2 linked regions of the Arabidopsis thaliana genome follow. Each later gene encodes a partner of the first gene's protein in a complex. Each region holds a gene or a part of one and is shown in the gene's direction. Other genes may lie near its edges.

Region 1 (6,031 bases):
TAAAAGACTAACGAAAGCCGATTATATCGAAGCCATTACGAGCCACATGGTATTGAAGATTAATTATAGAGTTGAATAGTCGATGTCACATGCTTTGACTGTCTCCTTCATTATAGATATCGACATTAATATTTTATTATTAACATGGAATCGTATCTTAACTTTTCCACGTAAAACAATATTTAATCTCTTTATGAAAGATCATGCACACACTAGGAAAACTATATAAGTGATTTCTTATATGGTAAACCAACTTTGAATGTAGGCTAATTAGTTTATTAAGCAATATAGTCTTTTATGTCTATGTTCAATTCACCATTCACCCATATTGTCCTCATTTACTTATAAATCAAGTAAACCATCAAAGAAAGTTGTGTAAACAGCCTATTTTTCTTTAAGAAATAAATCATGGCAAGAAAATGTGAGACTTTTTGGTTTTATTTTGTTAAAATGACAATCTATTATCCTTTTCTTTTTTTCGAACAATCTATAACGTGTATATTACTACAAAGGTATAAGAGAATCCATTTTTTAACTGCCAAGATTAATTTTTTTTTTTCGATTCTTTCCAATTAATTAATAACGGATTCTATCGACAAAATTTAGGATAGCGTTACATATAAAAGTAATATTAACGCATCCTAAATTTGTCGTTTTTAAAAGAAAAAAGTATTAACGACAAAAAATAATCCTTTAGCAATGAAAATTGGTGATAAAAAAACTGAAGAAAAAAGCAATGAAATTTATGTTCCTATACCGACTATTTTTTAGTTTCTTTTATATAAAATATAAAATAGTTTATATATAACCGTTCTTTTATTTTTTTATCGTCTACAACTCACATACGTTACACTTTTATAGTTATACTTCTAAATTAGAAGTCAAGTTATTGTATAGTGATATTATAAACTTCAAGTTATACAAGTCCGGTCATATGAAATTAATATTAGTAATTTGATTGGAATTATAACGTATTGATTTGGACATGTAAATAGCTAAAAAAAAATAGCTCCTATATTAGATTCTTTTAACCAACAAATACAACAATTAAGTTGATAACCTTCCTCTTTGAAGTATTTCAAGATTTTATGGAAAAAACTCAAGATTTTTTTCCGAAGCTTTTATCGGAAACTAAAGAATATCTAGTAGGTCTATTTTCATTCATTATCAACTTGCGAAAAAAGAGAAACAATGTCAATAATTAATGTAAATAGAAAAAAAAAAAAATTGTAGTTGAGAAGAGAGAGAGATGCAAAGGTGTCAACGTCCGTGCTTTGACTTCTATCTTTTCTCTTGTCCTCATCTTAAATCCTCAAAGCTGACCTAACCGGTCACTCCCTTCTTCTCCGGTCATCTTTAATTATTATTCAATTAACCCATAATCAAATTTTAATATAAAAATTAACCATTTGCAAAATAAAATCAATATAATTAATAAAAGCTACTCCTTTACCTTTTTATTGCATAGAAACTACTAAAATATAAATCTACCATTTGCAGAATAATCGGCAAAAAACCATAAAGAAACATTTATAGTCACATAATTTTGCATATATTTTTCTAAATTCGATCACTTTCATCATTCATTATTCATTAATCGTTCCAAATTTTCTTCTGCCTATCCGTTGAACGACAAACTATTCAAAGTAAAAGATTTAGACAAAAAAATAAAAAAAATATTTAGAGAAAGACTTTCCTAAGTCAATGTTATTGATTAAGACTTCATATATGACTAAACACACTCAATTATAATTGACAAAACACGGAAAAGATTTGTCTATAACAAATTTTCCAAAAACACAAATTAATTCACAAAATATTTGGAAAAATAATATTTATTCAAAGCTTCTTATTTCTTCTTCTTCTTTATTTAAAGATTTTTACTGTTTGCTCTGTATCAGAAAAAAGACCAAACACAACTCTTCCACTTTCTATCTCTCTCTAGAATTTTGCTTGCATTAAAACAACACCCACTACTTGCTGTTGCGTGTTGAAGTCAAAAGTCGCCATTTTTCTCTCTCTTGCTTCTTCATCTTCATTGATCATCATCTAAAATGGCAATAATCAGAAAACCCGTTTCGTATACTCTCAGATTTCTCAAGGGTTTTTGTTGAATCTTAATTCTTCTCTCAAAGTTTCTTCCTTTATATTCTTCTTCTTCTTCCTCTGTTCTTGAAATGCGTGTTCATCGTTTTTGTGTGATCGTCATCTTCCTCACAGAGTTACTATGTTTCTTCTATTCCTCGGAATCTCAGACCACCTCCAGGTGCCATCCACATGACCTCGAAGCCTTACGTGACTTCATAGCACATCTCGAACCAAAACCAGATGGTTGGATCAATTCTTCTTCTTCTACAGACTGCTGCAACTGGACCGGAATCACCTGCAATTCAAACAACACCGGAAGAGTTATTAGATTGGAGCTTGGGAACAAAAAGCTGTCGGGGAAGTTGTCTGAATCTCTCGGGAAGCTAGATGAGATTAGGGTTCTTAATCTCTCTCGAAACTTCATCAAAGATTCGATCCCTCTTTCGATTTTCAACTTGAAGAATCTACAAACTCTTGATTTGAGCTCTAATGATCTCTCCGGCGGAATCCCAACAAGTATAAATCTCCCAGCTCTGCAAAGTTTTGATCTTTCTTCAAATAAATTCAATGGGTCGCTTCCGTCTCATATCTGCCATAACTCTACTCAAATTAGGGTTGTGAAACTTGCGGTGAACTACTTCGCCGGAAACTTCACTTCCGGGTTTGGGAAATGTGTCTTGCTTGAGCATCTCTGTCTTGGTATGAACGATCTTACTGGTAACATCCCTGAGGATTTGTTTCATCTCAAAAGATTGAATCTTTTAGGGATTCAAGAGAATCGTCTCTCTGGTTCGTTGAGTCGTGAGATTAGGAATCTCTCAAGTCTTGTTCGTCTTGATGTTTCTTGGAATTTGTTTTCCGGTGAAATCCCTGATGTGTTCGACGAATTGCCTCAGTTAAAGTTTTTCTTAGGTCAGACCAATGGATTCATTGGAGGAATACCTAAATCGTTGGCGAATTCACCGAGTTTGAATCTGCTTAACTTGAGGAACAATTCTTTATCGGGTCGTTTGATGTTGAATTGTACGGCGATGATTGCTTTGAACTCTCTTGATTTAGGTACCAATAGATTCAATGGGAGGTTACCTGAGAATCTACCGGATTGCAAGCGGTTAAAGAACGTTAACCTCGCGAGGAACACCTTCCATGGACAAGTACCAGAGAGTTTCAAGAACTTCGAGAGCTTATCTTACTTCTCGTTATCGAATTCGAGTTTGGCTAATATCTCTTCAGCGCTTGGGATACTTCAGCATTGCAAGAACTTGACGACTTTGGTTCTTACATTGAATTTCCATGGAGAGGCTTTACCCGATGATTCAAGTCTTCATTTCGAGAAGCTTAAGGTGCTTGTAGTGGCGAATTGTAGGCTTACTGGTTCGATGCCGAGGTGGTTAAGCTCGAGTAATGAACTTCAGTTGTTGGATCTTTCTTGGAACCGTTTAACCGGCGCTATCCCGAGCTGGATTGGTGACTTCAAGGCTCTGTTCTACTTGGATTTATCTAACAACTCGTTTACAGGAGAGATCCCTAAGAGCTTAACTAAGTTAGAGAGTCTCACTAGCCGTAATATCTCAGTCAATGAGCCATCTCCTGATTTCCCGTTCTTTATGAAAAGAAACGAGAGCGCGAGAGCGTTGCAATACAATCAGATTTTCGGGTTCCCGCCAACGATTGAGCTTGGTCATAACAATCTCTCTGGACCTATTTGGGAGGAGTTTGGTAATCTGAAGAAGCTTCATGTGTTTGATTTGAAATGGAATGCATTATCTGGATCAATACCTAGCTCGCTTTCTGGTATGACGAGCTTGGAAGCTCTTGATCTCTCTAATAACCGTCTTTCGGGTTCGATCCCGGTTTCTCTGCAACAGCTCTCGTTTCTGTCGAAGTTCAGTGTTGCTTATAACAATCTCTCGGGAGTAATACCTTCCGGTGGTCAGTTTCAGACGTTTCCAAACTCGAGCTTTGAGAGTAACCATCTCTGCGGGGAACACAGATTCCCCTGTTCTGAAGGTACTGAGAGTGCATTGATCAAACGGTCAAGAAGAAGCAGAGGAGGTGACATTGGAATGGCGATTGGGATAGCGTTTGGTTCGGTTTTTCTTTTGACTCTTCTCTCGTTGATTGTGTTGCGTGCTCGTAGACGGTCAGGAGAAGTTGATCCGGAGATAGAAGAATCCGAGAGCATGAATCGTAAAGAACTCGGAGAGATTGGATCTAAGCTTGTGGTTTTGTTTCAGAGCAATGATAAAGAGCTCTCTTATGATGACCTTTTGGACTCAACAAATAGTTTTGATCAAGCTAACATCATTGGCTGTGGCGGGTTTGGTATGGTTTACAAAGCAACGTTACCAGACGGTAAGAAAGTTGCGATCAAGAAGTTATCCGGTGATTGCGGTCAAATCGAAAGAGAATTCGAAGCAGAAGTTGAAACACTCTCAAGAGCACAGCATCCAAATCTTGTTCTTCTCCGAGGATTCTGTTTCTACAAAAACGACCGGCTTTTAATCTACTCGTATATGGAAAACGGAAGCTTAGACTATTGGCTACACGAGCGTAACGACGGTCCAGCGTTGTTGAAGTGGAAAACACGTCTTAGAATCGCTCAAGGTGCTGCAAAAGGGTTACTTTACTTGCATGAAGGGTGTGATCCTCATATCTTACACCGCGATATTAAATCGAGTAATATTCTTCTCGACGAGAATTTCAACTCTCATTTAGCGGATTTCGGACTCGCAAGGCTGATGAGTCCTTACGAGACGCATGTAAGTACTGATTTGGTTGGAACTTTAGGTTACATTCCTCCGGAATACGGGCAAGCTTCGGTTGCTACTTACAAAGGCGATGTGTATAGTTTCGGAGTTGTGCTTCTCGAGCTTTTAACCGATAAAAGACCGGTGGATATGTGTAAACCGAAAGGGTGTAGGGATCTGATCTCGTGGGTCGTCAAGATGAAGCATGAGAGTCGAGCAAGCGAGGTTTTCGATCCGTTAATATACAGTAAAGAGAATGATAAAGAGATGTTTCGGGTTCTCGAGATTGCTTGTTTATGTTTAAGCGAAAACCCGAAACAGAGGCCAACGACTCAACAGTTAGTCTCTTGGCTTGATGATGTCTAGAAGAAAGAGGAACAATATCAGAGACACTATGATACATTTTGTAGGGAGTGATTTTCATACTTTTGAGATACAATGTAAATAGTTTTCAGATAATAATTTGTTTCTTCGTTTTCTTCTTCCATTTTTTTTATCTCAGTTTATGATTCAGATTCAGACATTAAAGATACTAGACAGAACATATACTGTCTCAGAAAAATGAAAAATCTTTTTGTAGTGTTTCAGAAATAATGAGTTCTTGAAAAAACATGTCTCAAGCAATTTAAATGAGCAACATAGATTAATAATTTGTGTTACATCTTTATTCTGTGATTTGCTTTGTGGATACTCTGTTGATTATGTTATACCTTTTAGAGATTTTTGGTTTAATTAAAAAATATATATATTTGGTAGCTAAATTCCTTTTGGTCTTCAACAAAAGAATTCCTTTTGGCCAACTATAGTCAATTTTTTGTTAAGAATCCATTACATTAACTTATTTTTTATGGGTGTGAAAATATTGTTCAACTCATTTGACCAAAAGAATTCAAAGATTATGACTTTGTAAGGTCAAAATATAATATTTGCTTCATTAGAAAGGTTTTCTATATATCGATTTCTCAGTCCCCAAAGACCACAAATTTATAGATTAGTACGCTTCCTATAATGGTTCCTTAAAAATTTTCAAAGATTGACTACAGATTCGATAGTGAAGATGTTCACTTCTGGCTTTTCTTCCACACTACATGAAAACAGCCAAAAATATAACAAATAAAATACAAGGAAAAAGAAAAAGAGCATTAAAAGTTTAAAACTTATGTATGATGATAAATATAAAAAAAAATATCGAA
Region 2 (7,941 bases), 7.6 Mb from region 1:
TTGTTATAAAAACAAAGAATATGACGAATAAATTTAACTTTTTGAAATCCTAAAAAAAAAAGCATACACATTTAAATAAATACTTTTATGTATTTACCTATGAAAGTTAAATTGATTTTGTCTATCAGATACATAAATGATCAAATAATAAATGAGAAAAACCTGCCCATATGTGCCGATATATATCCAGTTGAATTAAACCATCATCTTCTTGTTTCTTTGTTTTTAAAATTCTCTTATGAAATCGATCTTTTAGATAAAATACAATCGAATTTATGGAAGCAAGAAAAAAAAATTACGTAGGGGAGGTGTATTATTGGGGGACCCAGCACGATCAAAAAGTCAATATTCATCAGCCAATTTGCTGAATAAATAAATAAATAACCTTGAAAACAATTTTTGGTTAAATTACAAAAATAATGATATCCACAAACATGTGAATTGTTCCAGCAATTGCTGACCTTGCCATGAGGCACCTTGGAAGAGCCATTGCTTCATTACAATCCTTTAAAGCCATAAATATGAGATTAGGATTACCAAAATTTCACATATAACAAATTGTTTTATATCATTACTAGCTTAATATGTGTTTTATTATAGTTTTAGATCGACGTCATCTGAATATTTTCCCCCAAACTCCTAAATTTTATAATCTGTGTCTAAACCTAATTTTATATTTCAAAACATCCCTTTTTCTGGAAGAAACTTGTCTTTTAATTTTTTTTTTTTTTTTCACACTTGTCTTTTAATTTCCTTAAGAGACCAAATCAAGTTAATTTAGTGTACTCACCACCTTTAAAACAGGTCAAGTTAATTTATTTGAACATCAGTAATAAATTTATGAACATCTCTTTTCAACATCGGTATTCTTAAATAGTGTTTTAGAATCGTCATTTTAACTTTATGTTTCACTAAACTTAGAAAATATTTAGTTTTTTTTATCTCAATTAGTAATTATCATTTAAATTTTTATTTTCTCGGTTTCTACTTCGCCACTATTATTTAACATATTATTAAACAAATTAGTATTATACGGGTTGATTTTAATTTTCCAATTACAAATTAATTAAAATTCAACTTTTTGATTGGTTGTATAATCCGAAGGAAAAATGTTTACATACGAATTGTTTTAAAAACACTTTGATTTAAAAGTCCGACCTAAACAATCAACATGAAAATTAAACTTATGAGCAAATTAGGTTGATCTAGAAAATAACTTTTGCATTTGTCTCATAGGGAATTATAAAGTTAGTATCTACACACATATATCAAATATACATGTTATATCTATATTACTCTCTCTCTCTCTCTCTCTCTCTCTCTATATATATATATATATATATATATGTATATTCACAAATCCATGTATGTATTTTAAATTTTGTTTGTTTTTTTTTTCCTTCAAAATGAGTAACTTATATAGAAGTCATTAAGATTAGCTTTGCACAACTCTTTGGGAACAAAAAAGAACCCAAATTTTAAGCATTATTCAATGTTCATATAATTATTATGTATATTATTTTTCCTTATTGATTATCAATTTTATATACACAAAAAGATATCAGTGAAGAACTTATGATTGTGCATATTTTCTGTCCATACATAACCACAATATTAATCAAAAATTTAAATTTATCTTAGATATTTTTCTTATGATAATTCAATACTGTATAATTTTTTAAAATCTATACATTACAGTTTTGTCTTTTAAATCATATTCTAATATGCATAAATATCTAGAAAAATACTAACTCCATAGAATTAAATTTCTTATGTAAGTTTAGTATATTATCCTAAATTTGTGTTAATGTTAAGATTTCTACTAAATTTGATACTCAAAAGTAAAAAGTTTCTCTTAATAGAAAAAAATAAATATAGATTCTCTTACATTACAGGATCAGAGTATAAAACCAGTTTAAGTAAACAATGTTTCAAAAAACAGTATGATATCTGAAATTTTAATTATAAAACCAAAAATCCAAAGTCAAATATACGTTTTCCAAGTGAGAAAGGACCCATAAACAATTAACAACCATTGATGATCACCAAATCATAATCAACGGTCGAAATGAATGAAAAATAAAAGTCTGAAACGGTGGAGAGTTTCGTCGTTTTGAGTGGTTATAAAAAGAGAAGGCGTATATCTCCTCTGCAACAGAAGCTCGCTTTCTCTCTCTCTCTCTCGTGTGTGTGTGTGTGATCGAGTGGTGAAACGACAGAGAGGGGCGTCGTTTTGTTGATTTCTTCTGGGTGAAGATGTCAGGTCTCGAAGATATCAAGAACGAGACCGTTGATCTGGTATTATTTCGATTCTCTTCTCGCTTAAATTCTTCGAGTTTTTAATTTCATTTTTAGTGTTTATTCATCATGCCCACAAAGTGTTCGATGATTTGCTTGAATGAGAAATAGATCTGTTTCGTTGTTGTTCCTTGCATGGTTTCACGTTTGATTCTTTTACCCTTTTTTCTTCAAATCATTTTCCGATGATTCTACTCCTTTTTTCTTTGATCGAAAACTGAATCTTAATTCCTCAAGAACCCGAAAAATCCGCAAAAAAAAAAAAAACCGATTTTTCCCCCCAATTGTATCTGCCTCATTTTCGATGATTCTATCATGGATCCTATACAAAACCCAAATCAAGATTCCAACTTTATTAATTTTGGTCTAAAATTAGGGTAAAATAACAGATGTCTTTTAAAGGTTTTAGGTATTAAGCCAAAAATAAGTAGATTTTGATACTGTTCATCAGAAAAAGTAGATCTACCCAAAAACTACACACATGTGAAACGCTGAATAAAAAGATAAGTCTTTTTAGTGGTGGAGCTAAGCTTAAGCTACGTCTCAACAAAAGTCTCTTTCACATATTTATTAAAAGAGAAAAAAATCGCAAAAAGTTTGATTTTGCTTGTGATATATAACTTTCTTTCTCTAAAAAAAATCATCTTTTTTTTGTAAAGATAACGTTTTTGATGTTAAAGCAGTTCATAATATTCTTCTATCTTCCACCCATGAAAAATACCAGAGTTTTTAATAAATTTAAGTTTTCAACTTTTTTTTAAATTGTTGTTGATGTTCGAATTTTTTTGATGTACCTTTCCGTAGTACGTTTTTTTTTTTTTTGAACTTCTTTGTCCTTTTGTAAAACATCTATCAGTAGAAGCAACTTGTGAATTCCTCTATTGTAATTGATTTTGTTTAGTGAAATTGTTTTATGACCGAAATACCCTTAACCGGACTTTGGCTTTCACGCCGGAAAGTAGCCACCTTTCATGGAGGGAATCCCGCAGGCGCGTGTGTTACACGTTCCATAACACGTGCATTGAAGTAGTAGTAGTAGTGGTGGTGGTGGTGGTGGTCCCTCTATCCTCCACTGCCAGATTCTTTTCACCTTTCATTGTCACAACTTGAGTCAACGCCACTCTTCATCTTCCGAGTCGCCGAGTTGGATCGTTTCTGACATTTGTAAAAAGATTTCAAAACTAGAAAAGTTTTTGTCTTTTTTACCCTTTTGTTCTTGTTTGATGTTTGAGTTACTATTGTTTGGGTTCTGATCAAAACTTTTGCTTTGATTCTCAGGAAAAAATTCCGATTGAGGAAGTTTTCCAGCAGCTAAAATGTACAAGGGAAGGATTGACAACGCAGGAAGGGGAAGACAGGATTGTGATATTTGGCCCCAACAAGCTCGAAGAGAAGAAGGTTTGAGTTTGACTTAGCATTGTTGTTTTATCATCATTGAAAGCTTTGGTTTTGTTTAACTCACGAGGTTGATCTTTCGTAAAAAAATATCAGGAAAGCAAAATTCTGAAGTTTCTGGGGTTCATGTGGAATCCGCTTTCATGGGTTATGGAAGCTGCAGCTCTCATGGCCATTGCTTTGGCTAATGGTGATAATCGACCTCCGGATTGGCAAGATTTTGTGGGTATTATCTGTCTGCTTGTTATCAACTCCACAATCAGTTTCATTGAAGAAAACAACGCCGGAAATGCTGCAGCTGCTCTCATGGCTGGTCTTGCTCCTAAAACCAAGGTAATATGTTGGTGGATGCTGTGACATTACTGTACAAGATATTTCGAGACTTCTAGAGAGCTTAACCTGTTTCTCTGTTTTCAGGTTCTTAGGGATGGAAAATGGAGTGAACAAGAGGCTGCTATCCTTGTCCCAGGTGATATTGTTAGCATTAAACTTGGAGACATTATCCCAGCCGATGCCCGTCTTCTTGAAGGAGATCCTTTAAAGGTTGATCAGTCTGCTCTAACTGGAGAGTCCCTTCCTGTGACCAAGCACCCTGGTCAAGAAGTTTTCTCTGGTTCAACTTGTAAACAAGGAGAAATCGAAGCGGTTGTTATAGCCACTGGAGTTCACACCTTCTTTGGTAAAGCTGCTCACCTTGTGGACAGCACTAACCAAGTTGGGCACTTCCAGAAAGTTCTTACATCCATTGGAAACTTCTGTATCTGTTCTATTGCTATTGGTATAGCGATTGAAATAGTCGTCATGTACCCTATCCAACACCGAAAGTACAGAGATGGAATTGACAATCTCTTGGTCCTCTTGATCGGTGGTATCCCCATTGCTATGCCCACGGTCTTGTCTGTGACTATGGCTATCGGGTCTCACAGGTTGTCTCAGCAAGGTGCTATCACCAAACGTATGACAGCCATTGAAGAAATGGCGGGAATGGATGTCCTTTGCAGTGACAAAACCGGGACACTAACCCTTAATAAATTGAGTGTGGATAAAAACTTGGTTGAGGTTTTCTGCAAGGGTGTGGAGAAAGATCAAGTTCTACTATTTGCAGCTATGGCTTCTAGGGTGGAGAACCAGGACGCTATTGATGCAGCCATGGTTGGAATGCTTGCTGATCCGAAAGAGGTATAACTCTAATCATTTTGAATTACTTCTTTAGTTTAGTGAAAGGTCGAGAAAACAAGTTCTTAATTTCTTATGTTTCACTTGGATTTTCATAGGCCCGAGCTGGAATCAGAGAGGTTCACTTCCTTCCATTCAACCCTGTGGATAAGAGAACTGCTTTGACTTACATCGACTCTGATGGTAACTGGCACAGAGTCAGCAAAGGTGCTCCCGAGCAGGTGATGAATCTTCAACTTTCTCCTAAAGATGTTGCGTTTTTCCTTTATTCTGTGTACTAATTCGATTCTCCCACACAGATCCTTGACCTTGCCAATGCCAGGCCTGACCTTAGGAAGAAGGTACTCTCTTGTATTGACAAGTACGCTGAGCGCGGTCTTAGGTCGTTGGCAGTAGCTCGTCAGGTACTTTTTTACAAGCAATTTTTACATTGGTCTTATTTGGGTTTTTTTTTTGGCCTGTAAATCAACTGTTTAATTGCATATTCCTTTTTAGGTGGTACCCGAGAAAACAAAAGAAAGCCCAGGTGGACCATGGGAATTTGTTGGCTTGTTGCCTCTTTTTGACCCTCCAAGACACGACAGTGCCGAAACCATTCGTAGGGCGTTGAATCTAGGTGTTAATGTGAAGATGATCACTGGTAACTATTCTTATTCATCATTTTTTTCCCATGAAATCCATGGTTATTTAGATGTTTTCCCCTAACTTGCGCTCTAACTACGTTGCCAGGTGATCAACTTGCTATTGGTAAGGAAACCGGTCGCAGGCTTGGAATGGGAACCAATATGTATCCATCTGCGGCTCTTCTCGGTACCGACAAGGACTCGAACATTGCATCCATCCCTGTTGAGGAGTTGATCGAGAAGGCTGATGGGTTTGCCGGCGTCTTTCCAGGTTATGCCTTGCTTTCAGTTTCAAACCTCATCACATGTTCATTATAAAGTTTTGTTATATTGATCCAAGGTTCTTATGGTTACTGATTGCAGAGCACAAATATGAAATTGTGAAAAAGCTGCAGGAGAGGAAGCACATTGTTGGTATGACCGGTGATGGTGTTAATGATGCACCCGCTTTGAAGAAAGCAGATATCGGTATTGCTGTGGCCGATGCTACAGATGCTGCTCGTGGTGCTTCAGATATCGTCCTCACGGAACCTGGGCTGAGTGTCATCATCAGTGCCGTTCTCACTAGCAGAGCTATCTTCCAGAGAATGAAGAACTACACCGTGCGTATTCTTAATCTCACTCTAATATATTATGCCCACCACTTGTGTTCGTTTGCGCTGGAAACTAATAATTTTAGTTTCCTGCTTGTGACAGATTTATGCAGTCTCAATCACAATCCGTATTGTGGTAAGTAGAAACCCGTTTTACAAATCTATCACTTGTTTAGCATGATTTTACTTTTTGTATACTGATCATATTGCGTTGTAACTCTTGCAGTTTGGTTTCATGCTTATTGCTTTGATATGGGAATTTGACTTCTCAGCGTTCATGGTTCTGATTATTGCCATCCTTAATGATGGTGAGCAAATAACATCCTACTTTTCTAGACAGCGTCCTCACTCGTTATCAGCTATATCTTATGGTATTATGTGTTACTACCTTTTAGGTACTATCATGACAATCTCAAAGGACAGAGTCAAGCCATCTCCCACACCTGATAGCTGGAAGCTCAAAGAAATTTTCGCCACTGGAATTGTGCTGGGAGGCTACCAAGCCATTATGAGTGTTATTTTCTTCTGGGCTGCTCACAAGACCGACTTTTTCTCGGTACATCATCAGTTTATTTTCATTTCTTTTCTCTTTTTTTTGGTACAGGTGCTTCAGGGACTATATAGATATATATGGCCAGGCCTTTTGCTCTGAGTCTTAAAAAATTGTCTCACCTTCGATTTGCAGGACAAGTTCGGTGTGAGGTCAATCAGGGACAATAACGATGAACTAATGGGTGCTGTGTATCTACAAGTTAGTATCATCAGTCAAGCTCTAATCTTTGTCACCAGGTCAAGGAGTTGGTCATTTGTCGAACGTCCTGGGGCGCTTCTGATGATTGCATTCGTCATTGCACAACTGGTAAGGACATCAAGCACACATATTTTCTGAACTTCGATTAGGTTAAAGAAACCCACTGAATTCATTCACTCCTTCCAAATGCAGGTTGCAACTTTGATCGCAGTGTATGCCGACTGGACATTTGCAAAGGTGAAGGGTATCGGTTGGGGATGGGCAGGTGTGATTTGGATTTACAGTATCGTAACATACTTCCCACAGGACATTTTGAAGTTTGCCATTCGGTATATCTTGAGTGGAAAGGCTTGGGCCAGCTTGTTTGACAACAGGGTACATACAAGTCTATCTACCACTATAGAGACCTCTTTTACAAGCTGATGGTAACATACTAATCACATCTTCTTCTATGTTAACAGACCGCTTTCACAACCAAGAAAGATTACGGTATTGGAGAAAGAGAAGCTCAATGGGCACAAGCTCAAAGGACATTGCACGGTCTGCAGCCAAAAGAAGATGTTAATATCTTCCCAGAGAAAGGAAGTTACAGAGAGCTGTCTGAGATCGCAGAGCAAGCCAAGAGAAGGGCCGAGATAGCTAGGTAAGTAGTGTGATTAAAACGAATCTCAACGGAAAGATGCCATTTGATAGAGGTTCTGATTGGTGAATGATTTAATATTATGTTGTGACAGGCTTAGGGAGCTTCACACATTGAAGGGACATGTGGAATCAGTCGCAAAGCTAAAGGGATTGGACATTGATACAGCAGGACATCACTACACTGTGTAGTTGGAGTTGCACAACAACACAAACATTTACCGAAAACCAACCCCATCATGACTCATCTTTTGTTTTGTCTTCACAAATCTCTCTTTAAAAGTCATTACAGTAGAGGGAAGAGAACTCTTGTGTATTGCCATAACTCTTCCAAAACTCTTTTTTCTTTTTGTTATTGTTAGTCATTGTTCTTAAAACTCCTACTCGATATGAGCTTTGCAAATTTGCCTTTGAAGAAACAAGGCCCTTTGCCTTTGAAGAGACAAGGCACTTTGCTTTTTAATGG

The links.
Region 2: PSKR1 (region 1) and HA1 share a complex: the UniProt entries of both Arabidopsis thaliana proteins name them as parts of the functional complex.

What each region holds. Positions count from the first base shown.
Region 1 is NC_003071.7:583,271-589,301, reverse strand, and holds PSKR1 (phytosulfokin receptor 1), read left to right. Parts: upstream 1-1,900; 5' UTR 1,901-2,177; coding exon 2,178-5,204; 3' UTR 5,205-5,505; downstream 5,506-6,031. UniProt on the Arabidopsis thaliana protein: Phytosulfokine receptor with both a serine/threonine-protein kinase activity and a guanylate cyclase activity.
Region 2 is NC_003071.7:8,219,602-8,227,542, forward strand, and holds the start of HA1 (H[+]-ATPase 1), read left to right. Parts: upstream 1-1,912; 5' UTR 1,913-2,256; coding exon 2,257-2,298; intron 2,299-2,551; exon of another isoform or gene 2,552-3,576; coding exon 3,577-3,696; intron 3,697-3,789; coding exon 3,790-4,026; intron 4,027-4,110; coding exon 4,111-4,872; intron 4,873-4,967; coding exon 4,968-5,090; intron 5,091-5,168; coding exon 5,169-5,273; intron 5,274-5,364; coding exon 5,365-5,509; intron 5,510-5,598; coding exon 5,599-5,763; intron 5,764-5,855; coding exon 5,856-6,094; intron 6,095-6,188; coding exon 6,189-6,221; intron 6,222-6,311; coding exon 6,312-6,393; intron 6,394-6,480; coding exon 6,481-6,641; intron 6,642-6,770; coding exon 6,771-6,944; intron 6,945-7,028; coding exon 7,029-7,211; intron 7,212-7,297; coding exon 7,298-7,479; intron 7,480-7,570; coding exon 7,571-7,667; 3' UTR 7,668-7,941. UniProt on the Arabidopsis thaliana protein: The plasma membrane H(+) ATPase of plants and fungi generates a proton gradient that drives the active transport of nutrients by H(+)-symport. The resulting external acidification and/or internal alkinization may mediate growth responses.